Linked DNA regions of Lepisosteus oculatus. The protein of the gene in region 1 purifies or fractionates together with the protein of each later gene. This does not show direct contact. Links are inferred from orthologs where the notes say so. Each region holds a gene or a part of one and is shown in the gene's direction. Other genes may lie near its edges.

Region 1 (7,152 bases):
AAATAAAATTGATAAACTTATAATTGAGAGATTTTGAGATATTTGTACAGAATTCCATTCTAGCTTGAAATGTAACTCTAGCTATTTTATTTGACATAAAACATTTTTGATTATATTTTGTAAATACATCTGATTTGATTTGATTTACAGCTGTTATAAAAGTAAGATTTCTTACCTAAAGTGGAACCAACTGGAGCAAAGAGGAATATATAATGGAGCTCTGTAACAGCATTGAAAACTGTTCTAAAAGTAAGCACATTGGCAGTAAAATGACATTATTGTTATGGTGATATACTGTAACAAATTAAATCAGAAAATAAACAAAAGAAAGCATTGTACAATAAATTTCTATTTAATTTATTTTACAAATTCTTCTCAGAAGTTATAAATGCAAGAAAGGTTAATTATCGTTACAATCAAAACATCTAATAAAAAATGAGAAGAGAAGATCATACACAATCTAAGTCAGAGTTCTATATAAAATTATTTCCAATTGCCATGTTATTAGTTTAATGTTTCATATTGGCTTGTTTTATTAAAGTATTACCTTACAATCTCTTTTGAACTCCCAATACAGAAGTCGGGCCGTGCCACATAGAGGTGCATAAAAAGTGTGTTCAGTGGCTTAAACAGAAAAAAAATATACAGAAATAAGATCTAAGATACATATAATAATATCAGTATTATTTCTGAATAGCTTATCTCTCATTCGCTTAGTGATGTGCATTTTCTCTACCATGACTAGATCAAGCAGATCCATTGTATACTGGTTGGTACAGTATGTCAAAAAATGAGACCGCACACATCACATTCTACTGGTGCAAATGGCAATGGGAAATGTATGTTATTACATAAGGTGGGGGGGCGAGGTCACTTAACACGTGGCAGCAAACAGCACTCAAAATGCTTCAATTTATACCATGCGATATAAACAGACACTGTCCCCGTCATCTTTGCACATGAGAAATTGTTCTTATGACATATATGGTAAAATAAAGGATGAAAAAGTAATTTTCCTGAAACTTACTTTAAGTGACTTGTTTATGTTCCTGCGCAACCGGGTTGAATTTCTAAGTAGGCTAATACCGATCTCTAAATTCTAAGTAACACGGAGGTTTAAGCAGGTAGGAAACTAAAATGTGATTCAGAAAGAATAAACAAATCAATCCAGAGTGCATTAAAAGAAAACTCTTACCAACACAACATGAATCTGTCATTAACTAAATAGTGCACTACTGCTTCAGCTGCTGCTAATAATACTAGTGCACACAACTGTTGATAATTCGGTGAAATCAATACTTACTGTACATTTATCAATGTTGTAATTGTTGTGTAACCAAGGTTCCCAGCAAGCCTGGTCAACAAGATCCAGATTGGGATAATCTAGGAAGGCAGCATGAGCTATGACTTCATTGTTTGCACTGTTCAGTGTCACTGCAAGGTTAGCCTTCTCCCTAGGTAGACAAAAAAATAAATGAATAATGACCAGTGATGGACTGGGATCCTTATCCAGCCTGAATTCCCGCCTTGTGCTATGCACAATTTCTCTACGACCCTTACCAAGAATAACTGGCTTTTTGATCATGGATGCATGAGTCAATTATGTTCTAGAATGGTACTTATTTATTAGAGACCCTTCTGAATCAAAATGAACCAGAGGAGACAGTTGGAAACAATGCTGAAGCACAATGCTGAAGGCAGTTTTTCTTTTACAAAAGAGGTTGTTGGTGTCTGGAAAAAGCAGTACATCCATACGGCTGAAGCTGATACTCTGGCTTCTTTCATGAAAAGGCCGGATGAGATCCTTGGATGAATTTAGCTAGAAGCAATCAAACGAACTAGAAGGGACAGATGGCCTCCTTTCTTTTATACATAAAAGGAAGCTCCTTATGAAACATCTGGGGAATAATAACCTGTTGGGGATGGCATATGTAAGCCTGCTTAGAATGGTGTGTTCAATGCACCTCAACTCCACTTGTGTGGTCTTCTAAACTTATTAGCCAGTATTGCATCTATCAATCGACCATTGCTAGCACATCAGGAGAAGTTCGGAAGTGCATTTAGCTTACAACATGTGTTGTGTATGACCTTGCTCAGACTCTACGAGAGACAACTTCTTTAACTCTCACCAAAGCTAAACTTAAAACATTCCTTTTTACCAAGGTCTACATCTGATTGCCCTCCATCTGTAAAACCTCTGTATGCTCTTGTCTATTTTTTCCTTCATTTACATTTTATTGGACTTTTTTTTTGCCTTTTTTTATTCACTATGCAGAGCGTCCTTGGATTTCGAAAGGCGCTTCATAAATAGAAGTCGAATCCGAGCTGAAAGAGGTGACTCAGCAGTGATAGATTCTGCACGCCAGACGCTGCAATCGCAGGTCATGTGGGAGCAGATGCACACGCTGACCTCCGAGTCCCGGCCCCGGGTGGAGTTCCTGTAAGAAGCGGGGTAGACGTGGCACCGGGTGAAGAAGGGTTAAATGTAACTGCACCCAGGCTGCGTCCGCAGCAGGCGAAAGGGGGGACTGAAGGATTATTTTTAGATATCTTTTGTATAATAATAATGAATAAACTTCTATATAGTGCCTTTAAAGGTGGCTTCTCAAAGTGTTTTACAGCATGTCAACAACAACAATAAAAAAACACACAAGATAAGCTAGATGAGAATACACAGGTAGAGGAGCCAGTAGATGGTCGTACTGAATACAGTGGGAGCAGAGGGGTAAAGAACAGTTCAACAAAGGCTCTTCTAAAGAAGAAGGTTTTGAGTCTGGATTTGAAGGAGTTTTTGTATGACATAACTGTAACTTGAAGCATTGATGATCACCTTGTACCTACAAAACGTTGCTGACGCTTAAAAACATGTCTTTGTGATTCTGATATAAAAAAATATGCAGACTGCTGACAGCTACCAACCGCTCAAGAAACTATAAGTGTCAGGCAGGAGGAAGGAGGAAGCCGAAGTCGCTCTGCCATCTCAATCGCCGGATGAGGGGGATGTACCGAGATGAGGACGGGGCTACTGAACTGCGGTTTTTGCTCGACTTGTTTGTACCGGGCGATGCTGGAGGAAACCAAGCTTGGGGTAGAGATGCGCAGAGAAAACTTTCTCTCGCGTCGCTGTGCTGTGTATCTTGATTTGAGTACTAAAAAATAAGGACCTGATGTTCGCTTCGCCTCCGTAGTCTGGACTCGGTTCTTTTCACCGAACCTCAGCTGTCCCGCCTTCAACCTCTCCAGGGAAAAGGGTCTCACACGTGTTACATACTGTACCACTCTCACCAACACATGTTAAAAGCAGTCTGTGGACGGTGCATGCGGTTGCAATATTTCTCAACTGAATGACGTAAACGCTGCAGGACTGCTACGACTTTGACATTGGATATAGCGTTGAAAACAAAGTTAAAGACAATAGGTAATCCGATTTACGTTCTCCCCAACTATTTTACTCACAATAGGTAAATGACGTTTAATCTGCCAAACACGTCTTTGGTGGAAGGCAGAATCAGATTACTGATCTCTGGAGCATCCGACGATTCTGCTCGCCTCGCCGTCACAATTTCTTCTTTCCCACCAGAGGAAGTAATGGTCCTCATTGTACCTTAAAGCAAGCAGTCGGGCGGATAAATAAAGCAACTGCACTGGTAGTGAATTTACAGATTTCAAAACTGAGAAACAGCTCTCTTGCGCTACAGAGTTTGAAATCGTGTTCAGACGACAGACAATCGCAAGCACTTTAGAAATGTATATTTACACATTACGAGACCAATAACAATTTAAATGTGCAGTGCCAAAGCGTATTTCACACATACGCATGTACAACTGATTTTATAGAAACATGAGCAGAAACATTTTGATGCTCTCTTTGACATGCATATTAAGAGTGGCGAGTCACATTAAATTCAGCATAGGTTATCCAATGCATTATATGTATATGTACTTAAAAATAATTCTTTCAAATGCAATATTTCTTCAAGAAGACGAGGCTGGGTTACCTTCCTTTAAGATAACTTGCGGGTCCTCTGTGAACATTCAGCAAACAAAACTTCATATCCATGGTGACAGAACGCTCCGTCTCCTTGACTACCAATGACATCATGGGGTGAAAGGTTGGAGGTTACGCACGGCGTACGTCTTTCATGGTGGACCAGTGTGTGGAACCGTAGTTGACTTCTGTTGTTGTTATTACAATATTGTTCTTAAAACTGTGTATTTTTTATTTTATTTCGGATTAGAAGTAACAAGTTGAAAAATGGCTTCTACCGCGGCTGGGAAGCAAAGGATACCGAAAGTGGCTAAGGTAATATTGTACCGTGTGCTGGCGATGTTTGTAAGGCCTTGCGAAAGATAAATTCAACGTGAAAAACATAAATAAAAAGGTTTATATATAAATCAAACGTATCAAAGTTGCATGTCTTATGTAGGTGTAAAGTATATTTGCCCGTGTGGTATAGCTAGGCGCTTATGCCAATTTCATCTCGAGTCAATTAAAAAAAATGCCTTTTGCAATGTACTTTGATACATTTTGAATTCCTCCTTCACAGTGCGATGTGTATTTGCTTGTGCTTTGCTCTATGCGGTATAGCGGTAACGTGGCGTGGCTGAGCTGGAGCTTTTGTCCCGTGTGCAGGTGAAAAACAAGGCCCCCGCCGAGGTGCAGATCACGGCGGAGCAGCTGCTCAGGGAAGCCAAAGAGAGGGAGCTTGAGCTTCTGCCCCCGCCGCCCAAGCAGAAGATCACCGACGAGGAGGAGCTGAATGATTACAAGCTGCGGAAAAGAAAGGTAAGTGCGGAACACAGAGCCCGGCGGCTGTTTTAGACATGTAATAATAATAATAATAATTGCTTACACTTATATAGCGCTTTTCTGGACACTCCACTCAAAGCGCTTTACAGGTAATAGGGTCTCCCCTCCACCACCACCAGTGTGCAGCCCCACCTGGATGATGTGACAGCAGCCATAGTGCACCAGTACGCTCACCACACATCAGCTATCAGTGGGGAGGAGAGCAGAGTGATGAAGCCAGTTTATAGATGGGGATTATTAGGAGGCCATGATTGGTAAGGGCCAATGGGAAATTTGGCCAGGACGCCGGGGTTACACCCCTACTCTTTTTGAGAAACACCCTGGGATTTTTAATGACCACAGAGAGTCAGGACCTCGGTTTTATGTCTCACCCGAAGGACGTTACCTCTTTACAGTCCAGTGTCCCCATTACTAAACTGGGGCATTAGGACCCACGTGGACCGCAGGGTGTGCGCCCCCTGCTGGCCCCACTAACACCTTTTCCAGCAGCAACCTTAGTTTTTCCCAGGATTGTCCCATCCAGGTACTGACCAGGCTCACACCTGCTGAGCTTCAGTGGGCTGCCAGTTGTGAGGTGCAGGGTGATATGGCTGCTGTCTCCGACTTCAGGACCCGAGTCCAGTCATCCTCCGAAATGACCTCCACACGCTCCACGTCCCTTTTGTTAGTTTAAGTACCAAGCGGAGACAAAACTTTACAAGTTTGTGCTGTTGTTGATATTGTGTTTTTACTGTTAAATCAAATTATCATCACTTTTAGATATTGGAATCTGCAATATAATATTTTACACCAGTTCCTTTATTTCCTACAGTTCTTCTATCTTATATTTCTAGTCTATCATGTATTTCTATCACATTGGTGGTGGTGGAGGGGAGTCCCCATTACCTGTAAAGTGGAGAGTCCAGTAAAGCGCTATATAACTGTGCGCTATTATTATTATTATTATTATTTCTAGTTATTGGTGATTGTAAGAAGTTGCCTGACTTTTGCAACCATGATGATCATTAAAACCATCGTAGCTGTACTGCTCTCAGATGGCCCAACCATTTGAAGTAATATGAACTTGAAAAGGGGAGAATTAAATATTTTTACACCCTTCTGTTTAATGTTTTTTTTAATATTTGTATTCAACTGTATAAAATTCAGGTTGCTCAGTTGAACAATAATCGTGTGAGTTTAAAAAGCACAAAAGTGCATATGATGAAAGTACACTCATCTGAGCTTTCTCCGTGATACTTTGTTTTTGTCTATTCAAAGGGATTTGAAGACAACATCCGAAAAAATCGCACTGTCATCAGTAACTGGATAAAGTATGCACAATGGGAGGAGAGCCTGAAGGAAGTTCAGAGGTAATATTTATTTCTTAATGTTCTAGATGAAATGTAAGAGGAGAGAATATTATAAAAAATACCTGTCCACCCAGATTCTGAATTGTGATTACAATAGGGCCAAATAACTTGGAAAGCCACAGATTTAATGAAATGCTTTTAGAAAAGAGAGAGTTTATTTTGTCATGTGTATATATACATTGGGATTCTTGTTTGTGCTGTTCTTTCTGAAGGTGTACAGTAAAATAGGCCATGCCACACAATGTGCGCAGTACATTTAGCCCACAGCCATATCACCCTGCAACTCACAACTGGCAGCCCACTGAAGCTCAGCAGGTGTGAGCCTGGTCAGTACCTGGATGGGAGACCTCCTGGGAAAAACTAAGGTTGCTGCTGGAAGAGGTGTTAGTGGGGCCAGCAGGGGGCACTCACCCTGTGGTCTATGTGTGTCCTATGTGTGTCCTAATGCCCCAGTATAGTGACGGGGACAATATACTGTAAAAAGGGTCTGTCCTTCTGATGAGACACAAAACCAAGGTCCTGACTCTCTGTGGTCATTTAAAAAACCCCGGGTGCTTCTCGAAAAGAGTTGAGTGTTATCCCAGTGCCCTGGCCAAATTTCCCAATCATGGCCTCGTAATAATCCCTATCTATGAACTGGCTTCATTGCTCTGTTCTCCTCCCCACTGATATCTGGTGTGTGGTGAGTGTACTGGGGCAATATGGTTGCCATTGCATCATCCAGGTGGGGCTGGATGGGAGTCCACATTAGCTGTCGAGTGCTTTGTGTGGAGTGTCCAGAAAAGTGCTATGTAAGTGTAAAGAATTATTATTACGGAGGCCTGCAGGATCATTAATGATCTAACTGAACTAATTAAAGGCTTAATTGGAACAGTGCAAGAGACTCCCTGTTCTCCAAGTGCTACTGATTTAAGGCATAAAACCTGCAGGAATTCAGCCCTTCAGGATCCAAGTTGGAAACTCCTACTCTAGTCTAATAGAAAACCAGAAATA
Region 2 (7,551 bases), on another chromosome or scaffold:
ATGGGCTGTATGAGAATGAACACTCTGGATTCACTCGCACAAAAACTCCCCAAGACTGTTTTTTAGACTCTGGAGTTTTCTCACATCTGTAAAGAAAAACTCAAATCCCATCCCACGCCTTCACTGTGGGAAAAGATTTTCTGCATTAGCATTCATTGATGTCCCTCTCAGGTCTGGATTTAGATATCATGTCTCTCGTGCTCTCTTATTCCTTGTGGTCTTGGATAAAACAGAAATGAAAGCCTTGTGTTTTTCCAGTCCAAGATTAACCACCCCAGCACAAGGTCTTTCTCAAGGACAGGGCTCTCTGGCAGAGCAAACAGGAGTGCTGATATTTCATCCATGACACAAAACCAGAATCAACACACATACAGTACCTCCAGCTACCATCACAGCCTAAATGTGACTGCTGTTCCCTCTGGTCCTTTGGGCCATCTGACTACTGGCTGCGAAGAACACCTAAAAGAGTTTAATAAATGATGGAGGCAAGAGGTTGGGCCATTCAGGACAGCCTGACAGTGTGGCAGCTGAAAAGGTTGATGATAGGCGAGTTTCATCAAGCTGTGGTTTGAAAGATAGCAAATGCTTCTGTCTCTGCAACAGCAACCAATTTGATCCACCACGGAAAGCAGAACACAGAGACAAGGCGGTGAGTACTGTGTGGGGGCTGGACACCAAGACTTGTCGCCTGTATCCCCCCAGGAATTTCTTTTCTTTGTTTCTAAGCAACTGTCTTGGCCATTGTCACAGAGCGCAGACCACCACATCACGTTTACACCTATTTATACCAATAAGAAATACCAATGAGAAAATTAAGATTCCCAAATTCCCCCAAAATTCAGCATTGCCTTAGACTAGTGTCACTACAAACAGATTGGAGGAAGGCATAAAGTAAAAAAGTGTTGTGAAGAAAGCTTTCTGGATGTTAGTTCAGTATTCCCCTTTAATATTTTAAATGTTGCTTTCTCAAGAAATGTGACACAAACTGAGAGTGGTGAGGTGAACTCATTCAGAGAGGCATAACATTTATAATCTGCTAGTCTCCTAGCCCAGGGTAATACGTGAGTTTTATCTGCCATTGGACCAAGTTTAATTCAGCGTTTCAAACACAGTGGACCCTGCCACTTCTGCAATTCTCAAATGTAAATTGAAAGATTGCTGGATAGTGATACCAGCAGTAGAATTAATGACCTACATGCTCTGTCTTTATGTGTAAGACATAGAGTTTTTTGTTACAGCAGTATATTGGTCACTTGGCCAATACGATGCAAAAAGTGAACCTCCAGGCAGCTGTATTGCCATGGCAATGCCCTAGATTACTCACCAAGCCCAGTGTGGTACACTAAGGCCTCTCTATATCTGTGTGTATGCAGCAGTCAGATTGGCATGGAGACGCAATGGAATCTGACACACAGTACAATCTGGATCACTCTGTGCCAGTGCAGGTGCAGGACATTTCTTGGTCTATAAATTGGGAGGGGGTGGAGGCAGTTCTTTCTGTTTCAGCGTTGCTCTAGACTACAGTCATGATATGAAGGCGGCAGGAAGGCCTAAAGGTGTGATGTCTTAAGGCACCACCTGACCCTTTGTATGTGTGATTTTAATGTTCTGAGTTAGCACTGGTGCTGGCACTAGCAGTTTGTGAGATTCCTCTATGGTAAATTAAATGTGGAATTCAATGCACACGGTAGCTCTTATGTGACATTTTAGGAGTTTACATCCTTTTCCATATGGAACTGCAGAAACCAGAGCTAGAATAAAGTATGTATTTTTGCAGAACTGCATACACTGGGGTTACATACTTATGGATTAGAAGGGCATGGCATCCGAGGATGACATTTGTGTTATCATGGTCAAGAAGGCCACATAGAGCAGGTCATACAGACATATTGTCACACCAAGCCAGGAGAAAGCCATTGTCATGGCCTGAGAGTTTGCAGTGGGATTCTGGGGGCCAGCAGCGAGAAAGAAATGAGAGACAGAAAGAAAGCAAGACTTAAAGTTAGAGACAAAACTGAAGAATTACACAATGCTGACGTTCAACACCTCTCCCTGACATTACTGAAACCCAGCCTAATGCAGGCCCTTTAGCAGTGGAAAGAATGGAGTATCGAGCACCACACTGAGTGCTTCTATTTATAAAGTCTCTAATGTTTTAAGTGAGTCTTGGTATTTCATTTAAAGCAGCAGCCACTGTTCCAGTGAGTGACCTTGTCCTGCCCTGTGGGGGTCATCAGTTTCAGGAAACAGCAATAACAATGTTGTCTCACCAAGCGCACCGTTTACTGAAGGAAACATCACGCCTCCCTGAGACAATTAGCTGGCAAACACCCCTTCTGTGTGAGCGATCCTTTCGCTAGCATTTCTTTGTTAACTCAAGTGGGGGAAAAACATGTCCAAAGCACAGCTTGGAAAAGATTAATGCACTGAATGAGTTTTCAAGGTTTGTTGAAGTGAAGTCATTCACACTGTAAACAATCCCACAATCACACAAGAAGCAACACTTCACCTGTTGTGCAGTAAGCCTTTCCTTTGTGCCCTTTTAGCTCCCCTGTGAGCAATTCAGATGCTGCAACAGTCATTTTAGCACATGCAGAACCACTCTGTAACTTCAAATTCATACACTTGAAAAAAGAGAGGAATCGGTCGATTTTCTCACAGAACTCCACCACCTGTTGTAAAACTAACAACTTTTTTCATTAACCTTTATATTGGGTCCAGTGTGATGCGCTGGAGAAATTCTGAATGTTGTGAATTCTGAATGTTGTGGCTGTTCTGCTTGCCTTTTTTCATCACAATTGGATTATTGGATCAGAAAAATGCTGTCACCACTGCCCCTCCAAGTTCTGACACCCGAAAAAGGCTCCACAGCTTTTCTTCTCTTTTCAGCATGGATTAGACCTTTATTTGTTCCTTTGCAGCCTACGCGTTGTTGCAGCTACCTACTTGAACCACTCCATGTTCTGTTTGGTTGAACATCATGCAAACAAAATTGTAAAAAAATAAAATAAAATGATAATAATAATTTATTATAATTAATTGCATATATTATTATTGTTGTTGTTGTTGTTGTTGTTGTTGTTTAAAGTTTCCAAGTTCCTAACTTCCCAGCACATTGCAAACTTGACAATCAAACTTTCTGGTGTTTGTAAGTTCATGATAGCCCAGGCCAGTTTGTCTGTGGGTACAGAAGGTAGGGGTGTGTTCTGCACACTTGGTTTGTTTGAAGGCTCTTTCTGTTTTGCTCCTGCTGCCCACTTCCTAATTCTGTTCTGATCTCTGTCCTGCACCATAACTGTTTTTCCTCTTCCATCTTCTCTGCTGAGCTATGCCTCTCTGTCCTTCCTTTGTCAGACGTCTCCACTGGCTGTAGGTTTACCATCATCCCTAATGTTTTCCTCTCTCTGTCTTGCCCTCTGTCCCATCATCACTCATCATGCTTCTGCACCTTGTGTCTCATCCCACTGCTGTATCCAGCCTTCCAGTCCTTTGTGTTCAAGGACAACTGTTGGTCTGATCTCCTAGACTCTACCTGCTGGTGATGCTCCTCAGGCCTCTTGGTTTTAAATGAAAACAGAGTGTTCTGATGTTTTGGATCATTAACTTGGCTGTTATACCTTGGATCCCTTCACCACTCATTAACATTCTGTTTTAGACAAAACTATTAGTTATATTTTCCTTCTGCTTTAATTTGAGGGTGGTTTAGCACAGTGGACTTGTAATTGGTGTGCTGTTGGTTTGAGTCCCCACTGCAATCACTGTTGTTGTACCTCTGAGTCTGGGATTTTACCCCCAGTTGCCTCAGTCCACCCAGCTGTATGAATGGGGACTGACATTGCTGGGGGTAATCCTTGCCAGTGACTGGCCTCCCATTCAGAGTTATGAAGTCTCTATATAGCCAAAGAGAGCAGGATAAATTCAGGCCTGATAAGCCGTAGGGTTAGGATTTGGAAATTATGGTCTATAATGATTTGGGAACATTCAGTATGAAATGTTTGAAGTTTTGCTTGTAGACCTGAAACATATGTGAACATAAACATATGTAAACATATGTACGTACACATTGGATGTGCTCTTTGTATGAACATGTAAATACGTAATAAATCTGTTTAACTTTATTTCTAAATAGCTTCTAATAGCTGATGTGTGGTGAGCATTCTGGCACACTATGGCTGTCGTTGCATCATCCAGGTGGGGCTGCACATTGGTGGTGGTGGAGGGGAGTTCCCATTACCTGTAAAGTGCTTTGAGTGGAGTGTCCAGAAAAGAGCTATATAAGTGTAAGCAATTATTATTATTATTATTATTATTATTATTATTATTATTAAATATTTTGTGATTTCTGATTTGTGTAAACATTAATGCAAATGAGCTTATTTTACTATTTTTTGTTAGATATCACTTTATACCTGTCATAAACCGTTTGGGAATAAAAAATATATTCAATCTTGTTGCAGCTAATATTCAACGGGCTCTTGATGGATCGACTAGCTCGGCGATTAGCAGGAGTGCCTGTATCGACGCAATCTATTGCGACAGGTTTGGCTTTCGGTGTAGAGAATTGTGGGAAGATGGCGACAGTCGTGGGTTCTTTGGAAGAGCAGGCGCTGAAGAGGAAAGAGAGACTAAAGGCGATTAGGAATAAGCAATTTCAGGTAAGACTTCAAGCAGAGACAAAACGAGTGAAAGAGAATTGGTCGGTTGATTATTTGGGTCCGTCCATGGCTGGAGACCTGCTGATCTGGACAAATCCTAAAGATACACAAGACTCATCCACCGCCAGCTAGCTTTTCCACTACAACGTGTGCCGTTAATTCAGTTTGCGCTGCTCACAGTACCGACCCTTTTAGATACTAGGCCACTCATTCATAGTATTGTAAGTAATCTGAGCATTGATCTAACTAGAACGTGTTTTAAATGAGCAGTCACTAAATATGTTTGGGCAATAATAATATGTTTGCTAGAACTAGCTCGACATGAAAGCGTTTAAGAACGACGAGTTTAACATTCAATAAGCTTGTTCGTGGTCTGAATTGTCTTCTAACGATTATTGTACCGATATAATTTGCTTTTTGCGGAGTTGGTACTGTATTAGTAAGAGATTGCCACAGGAATGCGAGGTCCAGTTCAGAGGGCAGATAAAGAACGTCATAGCTCAGCAGGTCTTACATTATTTTACAATGTAAAATAAGACATTATTTTACTTACAGTCTGCAATTTCACTCACGGGATCAATAAAGTATCTATATATTTTAGATTGCGTCGAGGATACTTCTTACACCACTATAGCTAGCTGCTGCTTGTCTGTTAATCATTGACTCAAGGCTTTCAGCTAGAGTCGAGCTGACTGCATATTTCGCTTCACTGAAAGATGAATGACATGCAAGAGAGAGTAAAGAGGAACACTTCGTGAAGCAGTCTGGAACAAGTTCTGGTAGAAAACTAATGAAGAAAGCATTTTATCCCAGGTATCCCCATTTCAGATTCCATCAGGTGGCTTTTAGGAATCAACATTCACTCAGTCAAAACCTTCCCAAGCAAGTCAGCAACAGAAAAAAAAACTCAAGTAGATAGAGAACATGATAATCCAGATTAAAAATTGTAGTTGCACTGAGAACAAAAGTTGTGAAATTTCCAGTTTAGTGCAAAGCCAGGGGTGTATTAATCTGCATAAAAAGCAGTAGTGGTTAATGCCGATTCAATTCTTTTTGGCACAAGCTTCCCACTTCAGTTTTTTTATATGCATGACTTCTAATTTGTACCTTGTGCTGTCTGTCTTGTAACAATGTGCATCTTATGAAGAAAATTTTGCTGCCAGTTTTCTCACTTTCTTTGTTTAATTTGTAGCTCTAAGCATTTTTGTGGGACTTTGGACAAGAATTTCAATATCTCAAAACTATGCTGGTGTATACAGTTTTGTGAAAAAGTATTTATTTTTTTAAGCGTTTTTGCCACTTCATATGATCAGAGATTTATAGGGGTTTTAGTGATGTAAAAAGGGAGTCTAAGTGAACTAATATTGCCAACATAATATCACCAACATATGATGCCTGTATCATTTATTTAGTACCATCTAACATCCAGTGCCCCTGTGAGAAAGAGTTAATTAGGCTCTTAGGCTCAGTACCTGGTTCTGCCACTTAGAGCTGCAATAACTGCAACCAAACACTTCCTGTAAGTAGTAATCAGTCTCTCTTATTGCTGTGTATGGAATGCAGTTTGTTTTGTTTTTTTGTCAGACATAACCCCTTTTCACGGATCTGTTCATAGACTGTTCCTCCAGAAAACTTGAGGGTCATCCTGGTGCTTTTTGGCAAATTTAAAATGAGTATCAATGCAATTGGCAAGCAATGGTTTCGCCTGTGCCATGCTCCCATGAAACTGTTCTTACCCAGTGCTCTTCTGATGATTGAATCATGAACACTGACTTTAGCCAAGGTTACGGTGGCTTGTAGATCCCTGGATGTTGTCCTGGGGTTCTTTGTGACCTCCTGGGCTATTTTACTCTGTGCTCTTGGAGTGATTTTGGCCAGATGGAAACTCTTGGGAATATTCGCTATTGACCTAAATCTTCTGTATTTCGGGACCATGCTTCTGGCTGGTTCGGTGGAGCCACAGAGTTTTACAAAAGGTTTTGCAGTGTTTTCCAGACTGATAAGCATGAATGATTTTTTCAGGAAAATCTTTTGAGCGGGGCGGGATGTGCCTCCAGGTTTTGTGTGGTGAGAACTTGACTGTGAAGATTAGAGGCAAAGATTGTGAGATTTCTGTAGAGCTATAGAGATAAATCAACCCTGATTGTGTAATACAATATTTATCATATATCCAGGTAAATATATTTTAATGCTTTTCAAGCTTACCTTGTACGAACAGTTCTTACAGACTGGATTCAAGGTGCAGTATTTCTAATGCGGGTGGCCTAGAGAGGTGTAACCTATGTCAGAAGTAGGTGGGCACTCTGGATGAAGTTAAAGTGCTGAAGCACACATGGCTATGTTAGCCCACTCTAGGTCTTTCCATTACACAGCAGGTTGCTTAGATGTCACCTGAGATCAGTTTGCTTGCGCAGGTTTTTCAGTGGAAGTGCACAGAGGAAACCCGGGCAATGCTGTGTTTGGAATAACCCCGCCCCTGACACTCCTGGGACAGACTCCCTACACACGTGTGAATGCGTAATAAAATGTCTCCAACAGCTGTTCTTCTGACTGTGTCTGTTGGGCAATCAAGGAAAAAGAACCTTGTGCAGAGATTCCTGTTTAATAAGCTCCAAGATCTGTAGATTAGAAAACGTTGGCATTTTCGCTTGTGCCAGAAGATTGGTAATGAGCCAGCTGCCTTCCTTTGTGAACTCGAGGTTAATGCCACAGATGCTTGTGTGAGCATGCTTATGTGCACAGTTTGGGTTTATTGTTATTTTGGCTTCTGTTCACTGAAGCTGAGGGTTTTCCGCTCTGCGAGCATTGCCCTGACTTTTAGGAACACCAGAGGCTTTTGCATTGTTATATCAAAACGAGGGAACAGCTTAGTTTTTCCAGGAAAAGCCGAGGAAGC
Region 3 (7,486 bases), on another chromosome or scaffold:
GGAAAGGACAGCACATTCAGGAGAGGCTGTAGGAACATGGTGGAGGACTGGACAGTGTTGATAAGAACGGAAGAGCATTGCAGTGCCAGCCTGCAGAGTGAAGGGCCATGCCCGTGCAGTAGGCGCTCCGGTCCTGATGCTGCTGCCTCCCTCTGTCTCCCCAGGTGATGCTGGAGGAAGGGAGGTCCAAGGGCTTCGGGTTCGTGTGCTTCTCCTCCCCGGAGGAGGCCACCAAGGCCGTGACGGAGATGAACGGGCGCATCGTGGGCTCCAAGCCGCTGTACGTGGCGCTGGCTCAGCGCAAGGAGGAGCGCAAGGCTCACCTCACCAACCAGTACATGCAGCGCATCGCCGGCATGAGGGCCATGCCCGCCAATGCCATCATCAACCAGTTCCAGCCCGCCGGCGGCTACTTCATGCCCGCCGTGCCACAGGTGCGGGGGAGAACGGGGGTGAAATGAAGCGTGGGGGTGTTTGTGCCCCCCGCGAGCTGGGGAAAGGTCACGTCTGCTTTACCTGTGTGTCTTTCTTCCAGGCCCAGAACCGAGCGACGTACTACGCGCCAAATCAGCTGACACAGATGAGGCCCAACCCACGCTGGCAGCAGCAGGGGGGCCGACCACAGGGTGAGGAGCTCTGAGCCCCCGGGGGTGAGGGGTGGGCGGGAGTGAAAGAGGAAATGGACTGTCCCGTTTTTCAGAGGGGTGGTGACCATGTGAAGCTTGAATCCTTTTGTGCTGGAAGCACCAATACATCTGCGATGCCATCGATTTTAACTGCACGTACTTTAAACAGGATAAGCAAGAGAATGCATACTGTCTGCCAGTTCACCTAATTTCCCTGCTCAAGCTCTTATCATAAATACTCCTGGGTGAGCAGAGACGCAGAGAGCTCCTTCCCTTCATCTCCTCCCCCTCTGTCCTTCCCCCTGCAGGTGGCTTTCAGGCAATGCCTGGCGCCCTGCGTCAGAGCGGGCCCCGTGCCAACCTGCGGCACCTGGCGCCCGGTTCCAGCACGCAAGGCCCCCGGGGAATCCCAGCTGGGGCGCAGAGAATGGGTAAGGAAGAGGGAAGTGCAGAAAGGGAGGATTAAAACTACGGAGCTGTGTGAGGCCTAAAAAGGTCACTTGCATTTGTCAGTTGTTGTTTTCTGATGGAAAATGAGGTCTCGGGTCAGACCTGCACTCTGGGACTGAGCTCTCGCTCTCCTGCTCTTGCTGTGTGTTTGTAGGAGGGGCTGGTCAGACCATGGGCCCCCGTCCCTCCGTGGCAGTGCCAACGCCAAGGGCCGTCCCACCCTACAAATACGCCACCAGTGTGCGCAACCCCCCGCCCCAGGTGATGCAGCCCCTCTCCCTGCAGCAGGTACGGACGGCTTCTCGGGCTCCGCTGGGGATAGACGCAGGAGGTAGTCAGCACCTACTGGTGTCGGAGGTGCCTGTCCCACACGCTCTCTCTGCCTTCCTCAGACCCAGCCGGCGGTGCACGTCCAGGGACAGGAGCCCCTCACCGCCTCGATGCTGGCCGCCGCCCCCCCACAGGAGCAGAAGCAGATGCTGGGTGATTACGAGACGCCATTGAGTGTCTTCTCACCCTCAGTGTCCTTATCGGTGCAGGAGCAGTTCCCACTTGCTGGTCGATTGGTCAGCAGCTTGGATCCAAAAAAGATGTTTAGGGATAGCTTAGTACTGAGGAGGAAGAGTTTGCTGTTCTCATCTTCTCAGCTTCATTCTCAGCTTCTCATGGATGGAGGATTCCCTCACCTCTCCCTGCTTGGGAGAAGTCAATTTCCTGTCATCCTTACTCACCTCTCATTTTCAACAAAATTACCAAAACGGGATTTTGATCAAATGTTGCACTGTATGTTACTTGCCCTTGTGTCATGATGCCTTCTGTGTGGAGCATAAGTCTGTAGAACCTACTGCTAGGGCTGACCATAAATCAGAGGTAGGGTGATTTAAAACAGGTGATTCTTAGACTGGATGCTACTTTTGAACATTATAAAATAATAATAAATCAGGCGCAATAACACAAACATTAAAAAACTAGGTCTAAGGAGATCACATTTCACCCTCTTCTTCTCCTGACTCTCCTTTACTTCCTCTCTCTCAATCCAGGGGAGCGCCTGTTCCCCCTGATCCAGGCCATGCACCCCAGCCTGGCTGGGAAGATCACCGGAATGCTGCTGGAGATCGATAACTCAGAGCTGCTGCACATGCTGGAGTCCCATGAGTCCCTGCGCTCCAAGGTACGCGGCCGGCTCCACGCAGGGAAACTCAGCCGATGGATTACACTGATCATCCCAGGGGATCCCTGTACGTCTTTACCGACAGGATGGGAAAGCCTTCCGCAACCCGCCCACCTGGGTGACACACTGCTGCCCAACTGCACAGCAGGGCAGGTGGAGAAGCCAGGGACTGCTCTGCCACCTGGGGTAACAGGGAGTTTGTAGTAGGCTAGATCGTACAACTGGGATTTAACCATGGCGCTGAATCTCAGGGTCAGTGTCAGGGGCTCTTTTAAGAGTCACGTAGTTGGGACCTCGGTTTTAACATGTCATCCAATAGGACAACATCTGCTCTAGCAGAGTGTCTCCAGTCATACTGGGGCGGTGGTTTCATGAATTGTGATCCAAAGGGAAGAATCACCTGCTGGACCTCGAATCCCACATGCAGGAGCAATCTAGTTTTTCACCAGGGGTTTTCCCATTCTGGTCCTGCCAAAGCTGTAGTTTCCGAGATCAGAGGAGTTCAGGCTAGAAGGTGGCAGCATCCATTGCAGATACGTGGTCTTGAGTCTTATAAGCACTGTATTGCAATAATGACTGTTTGTCAGTGATTCAGGATCACTCATTCTTTAATAAAAGAGTCCTGGGGTCCCTTCCATGTGCTGAACGGCTGTACGAGCCCATTCCATCAAGACGGGGAAGCTGAATTGCATGCAGCCGTACAGCTGTGTGTTGTCCAGTCTTGTGTCTTGTTGTAATTGAATTATATTGCATTGCACTGCAATGACTCAGGTTGAAGAGGCCGTTGCTGTGCTCCAGGCTCACCAGGCAAAGAAGGACGCTGCGCAGAAGGTGGGGGTCATCACCACGGCTGCGACCTCCTGACGGGTAAGGGTGGCTGTGGCCGTGGAGGCTCTGCTCGGTGCCAGACTGCAGAAACCGCAACTTGGGGGGCTTCGCACCCCTCCGCTGAAGAAGAGCGACAGATCAGACGTGCTTGGCTGGTTCTTTCCTACTTTATGACAGAAGCAGATCTGCAATCTTTTCACTAGGCATTTTGTGCACCTCCCAGTATTGCCCTGGAAGCCTTCTCTGAACAGTGCTTCCCCCTATTGGCCATCACACCTAACAGCCACACCGCTGTTCTGTCTTTGGGACATTTTCCACGTTGTCCCAAACCTGCATCCTTCAAAGCAGGGGGCATCAAAACCTGTGCAAGGGCTTTTAAAATTTCCAGCGACTGCGTCTGTTATCCTGGGGCTTGCTGTGGTTTGTGCTACACTGTGACATACCATGCCTCTTACCACTCAGCTATACTTCACTCTGCTTTTGCTGTGGTACAGCATCTGATCTGATCTGATCGATACAGGAGGCAGCGGAAGATGTGCTGCGTGGTGGGGGTGGGTGGGGGGGGGGGGGGGGTGACATGTGCTTACAGAAGGGACATGGGGGGCTTTTTTCCAGGAAAGGGGAATAAAGGTTTCTTTCATTTTCCAGGCTTTTTCAAGAACTAGACCCAAAGAAGAGGGATCCAGTGGTCTTCGCTGTCGCATTTACCTGGTTCTTCCTGTAAACTGAATGCAAAAATAAAACCATACTTGAACAACTTAAAAAAAACATATAATTACAATTCTTTTAAATTATATTTTAGTAATTAATAAATGAAATATATATATATTTAAATTATATAAGTACAAGCTGAAAGGGGGATTTGTTTTTAACAAATACTATACTTGAACTGTTTGTTTCTTGTGGCCAGGACTGTTTTTTTTTCTCTCCCTGGGGAAAAAAACTTTTGACTGCAGGCTTTTGAGTTGTGGTGATTTGATTGGGATGGTTGAAACCTCCGACCCCTGTAATCCCTGGATGGTGTGACTTTCTCAATAAAGGATGAAACATTGATGAACTTGCCCCTGGGTGTGTCTCTATCCTTACCCTCTCGTTCCCTTCTTGTTCGCCTCGTCTTATCCTCTTGTTAGAGGGCAACACCAGTTTTTCCACGGGAACCGTAAAATGCATCTTTTTTTAAAACAGTTTGAAGCGGACAAACAAATCCCACAGTACTGAAATTCATCCAGCGACACAACCTACTTGATGTCTTTTTAGCCGCCAATCTTCAGCGGTCATATAGGCTCAAAACAAAAACTACGGCAATTTAAAAATGGGTGTAATTTCTGCCTAACACTGAACTCGGACGCGCACAATCTCACGGATCTATACTGAACCACGTGTGGGACTTACTGCCGCACGGAACGGACATCTGAAGGAGTTGCACAGGAAAGGGCGGGGTTTATGTTGGGTCAAAGGGCACAGTGAAGATGGCGGCCGCCAAGCGTGTGCTGTATGTTGGTAAGTTGTTTAAAAAACTGCTTTTGTGAATTGTATGAAGAAATAAGAAAGTTTGAATGACATTTTACTGCTCTGTAAGATACGGTTCTTTCTTTGTCTTAGTCTTGAAGATTAGGTTTCAATAAGTGTTAATGGTTTCTTGGTGAACTCATTCCTTGATCCCCAATGCCCATCTCACCATAGTGTCTTTTGATAAACACTTTGTTTTTAATTTAAAGGATGAATTGCAAAAGCATGCCGTGCATTTAAAAAAATAGCCCTGGCTGGCAGCGGTACCTCTAGCAGATTCAAACGATGAGCGGGACAATGACGTAATTAAAGCGACAGATTACAGTTGCACTTTACTATGTTTTGTGAAAAGCTTGACCACCACATGCGTATCCCTTAAATGTCGATTGTTTTTATTCTGAATGGTTTATTTCTGTTCAGTTTTAGTCTTTTGCTGTTTGAGACGCTTGTCAGCCCCGATTTAAGTTGACATATTGGGAAAACACCGACTTGATGGTTGCACCCAGGCACTATTTGAAGTCCTTTGAGTACTCTTGTGGACTATTGTATGAGTTGATGATCACGCCCAACTTGTCTACTTCTCAGAAAGCAATATGATAGAAACAAGTGTTAGCTTAACAGACGTTTGCTTAAATTGATGTTTTGTTAAAATGATTGGTAAGTCGAGATAAAAGTGAGTGAAAGGATATAGTAAAACTGGTAAATGTTTTGTGTGGATGTATAGTTATACTGTATACTGTTTTTGAGTAGCTAAGTCTGAAACACACATTTAGTCTCACTTCTGTTCTACAACCTCCTTTTATTTCATTGATTCTCATGGAAAAAGCCCCTGTGTGCTAGCTCACATGGGCAAAAATCCTAACCTCCACGTTTACCTTGTTCTTGCGTTGTTCTACTGGGGAGCAATCCCCCTATATATCCCATTAGGTCCCTAATGCCGGCGTCACACTACGTGACTTTTCCTAGGATTTTCAGTTGTAGCCTTCATGTACACGATCGGAAGAAACTCACAGCGAGTTGTAGAGTCGCAGTGTGCGCCCGTTACCGTCAGCTGTGTAGTGTGACACCCCCAGCGACTCAGTCATAGCGCTCTTAACAGCCCCCACCACTCTCTGCAACTCGCTACGATAAAATCACACCGTTTGATTTTCTGGTAGCGAGTCGCAAGTCGTAGTGTTGTGCAGTGAGCCAGGTGTGTACTCGTGAGATAATGTGCCCATTATATTACACGTTCTAGCGCAATACTAATTTGTTTACACTATTTGTTTTAAAGGTGTTTTATATTTTTAACTGTTTTATTTTTGTAAATTCGTTCTATATTTATAAAGAAGAATGATATTTTTGAAGGGGTCTATTTGTGGAAAACAATGCCTGTGTCACCCTTGTCAGGATGTTTCCGTGCTCGTCCTCCATGTTGTTTGTTTACTTTCGCGCGGCGCTCCTCCTCCTATTCCAGTGTGCTCTACGTTGATGGGCTGCCAAAACGAGGGGACCCCACGGTACTTTTGCGGTGCAACACGAGATTTGAAACTGTGATGAAACGTCGTGAGGGAATCGTGTAATTAGTCACCCCCTGCTTTTCCTAGTCGTATAATTTGACGCCCTCTAGGACAGAAAAGGCAGCGAGATTCAGCAGCTGCAGTCGTTAAATTTGACATGCTCTCTGACTAGAAGTCCGTATAGGCCTGTAGTGTGATGCCGACGTGCGGCGGGGACCCTTTACTGACGCTTGGGGATCGCCTTGGTCACGTGTGAGTCTCCCTGTCTCGCAGGTGGCCTCGCGGAGGAGGTGGACGAGAAGGTTCTGCACGCGGCGTTCATTCCCTTTGGCGACATCACCGACATCCAGATCCCTCTGGACTATGAGACAGGTTAACACACACGCTGCGAAAAATGGTTTCCCACATGTCTTGCAGAAAACGATAGGGCCGCCAAAAATTAACTGTCCAGCCTTGGAAGTAGTCTGACAGCAGTGTTGCCATTACTATAGTCAAAGGACTATCAGTTTGGTGCTAAAGGTGGTTCTGGCTGAGCAGGAGGTGCCACTCTTCCATCTGGACCAGTTTCCTAACCAAAGCTCCACACAGGTGACTGGACCTCCCCTGCTTTAGCAGGTGCCACACTTCAGATGAGATGTGAAGACCCGGTCCTTACTGCTTTGTCTTTAAAGCATGAAAGAATAGAGGTGTTCTCTACAATATCAAAGCTAAATTGCATTTGGGTTTGAATGATTTGGGTTCCCTAAAGTTCCTTTTTATTGGTTTTCCAAATAGAAACTGTGTTGAAGTCGATGCAGGTTTCTTTCATGGAACAACTGGATTTAGTCACGGGATCAGTAAGCTTCTGACTACCAAGCAGGCTAGATGGACCAAACGGCACCCTTTCGCTTGCAAACTTTGTGTTATTGTGAAATGTTGTCTGTTCTTTTAATACCTGTACTGCTCTCTGTTTGCAGAAAAGCACAGAGGATTTGCATTTATTGAGTTTGAGCTGGCTGAGGTGAGTGTTGTCTCTTGTGAGGGTCTGACTTCTTCCTAAAAACGTTAACAATTTAACTCGTAGTTGTAGTGTCTAATGTAATATCAAATATCCATCACCTCATCGTAAAAGTATCTAATGATCTTCCTGTACTTTAGAATGTTTACTCAAAAACACATTCTGATTTGTTGACTCTTCAACCTGTCTACAAAATAGTGGAGATAGTTTGGAGAGCCGCTGAATGGATCTCTCATCTGAAGTGGGTGCAGTGCAGTGATTGGCCTGTCTCTGCAGTGTCTCATTGCTTAGCTCTACAATCCTGGTCCTGGAGAGCTCCTGCAGCCTTAACAGGCATCACTAAATGCTCAGTGAGCAGAGGTTTGGACTACCCATTAAACAACTGATTGTGTCAAGCAGAAGACAT

The links.
Region 2: the proteins of crnkl1 (region 1) and ccdc12 purify together in Homo sapiens (co-immunoprecipitation; 3 studies listed by BioGRID and IntAct, with this or other methods). This does not show direct contact. The link is inferred for Lepisosteus oculatus from reciprocal best matches to the Homo sapiens genes CRNKL1 and CCDC12.
Region 3: the proteins of crnkl1 (region 1) and ppie purify together in Homo sapiens (affinity purification with mass spectrometry; 3 studies listed by BioGRID and IntAct, counting the BioPlex papers as one, with this or other methods). This does not show direct contact. The link is inferred for Lepisosteus oculatus from reciprocal best matches to the Homo sapiens genes CRNKL1 and PPIE.

Annotation. Positions count from the first base shown.
Region 1 is NC_090697.1:9,759,849-9,767,000, reverse strand, and holds the start of crnkl1 (crooked neck-like protein 1), read left to right. Parts: upstream 1-4,143; 5' UTR 4,144-4,255; coding exon 4,256-4,303; intron 4,304-4,633; coding exon 4,634-4,786; intron 4,787-6,067; coding exon 6,068-6,159; intron 6,160-7,152. Other genes in the region: cfap61 (cilia- and flagella-associated protein 61), read right to left, coding at 176-243, 548-624, 1,304-1,454, 3,457-3,604, 3,999-4,035. UniProt on the Homo sapiens protein: Involved in pre-mRNA splicing process. As a component of the minor spliceosome, involved in the splicing of U12-type introns in pre-mRNAs.
Region 2 is NC_090705.1:22,377,347-22,384,897, reverse strand, and holds the start of ccdc12 (coiled-coil domain-containing protein 12), read left to right. Parts: upstream 1-4,546; 5' UTR 4,547-4,571; coding exon 4,572-4,655; intron 4,656-7,551.
Region 3 is NC_090706.1:2,459,957-2,467,442, forward strand, and holds the start of ppie (peptidyl-prolyl cis-trans isomerase E), read left to right. Parts: upstream 1-4,481; 5' UTR 4,482-4,544; coding exon 4,545-4,575; intron 4,576-6,356; coding exon 6,357-6,455; intron 6,456-7,039; coding exon 7,040-7,083; intron 7,084-7,486. Other genes in the region: pabpc4 (polyadenylate-binding protein 4), read left to right, coding at 165-434, 536-626, 935-1,057, 1,231-1,364, 1,469-1,559, 2,117-2,247, 3,019-3,111. UniProt on the Homo sapiens protein: Involved in pre-mRNA splicing as component of the spliceosome. Combines RNA-binding and PPIase activities.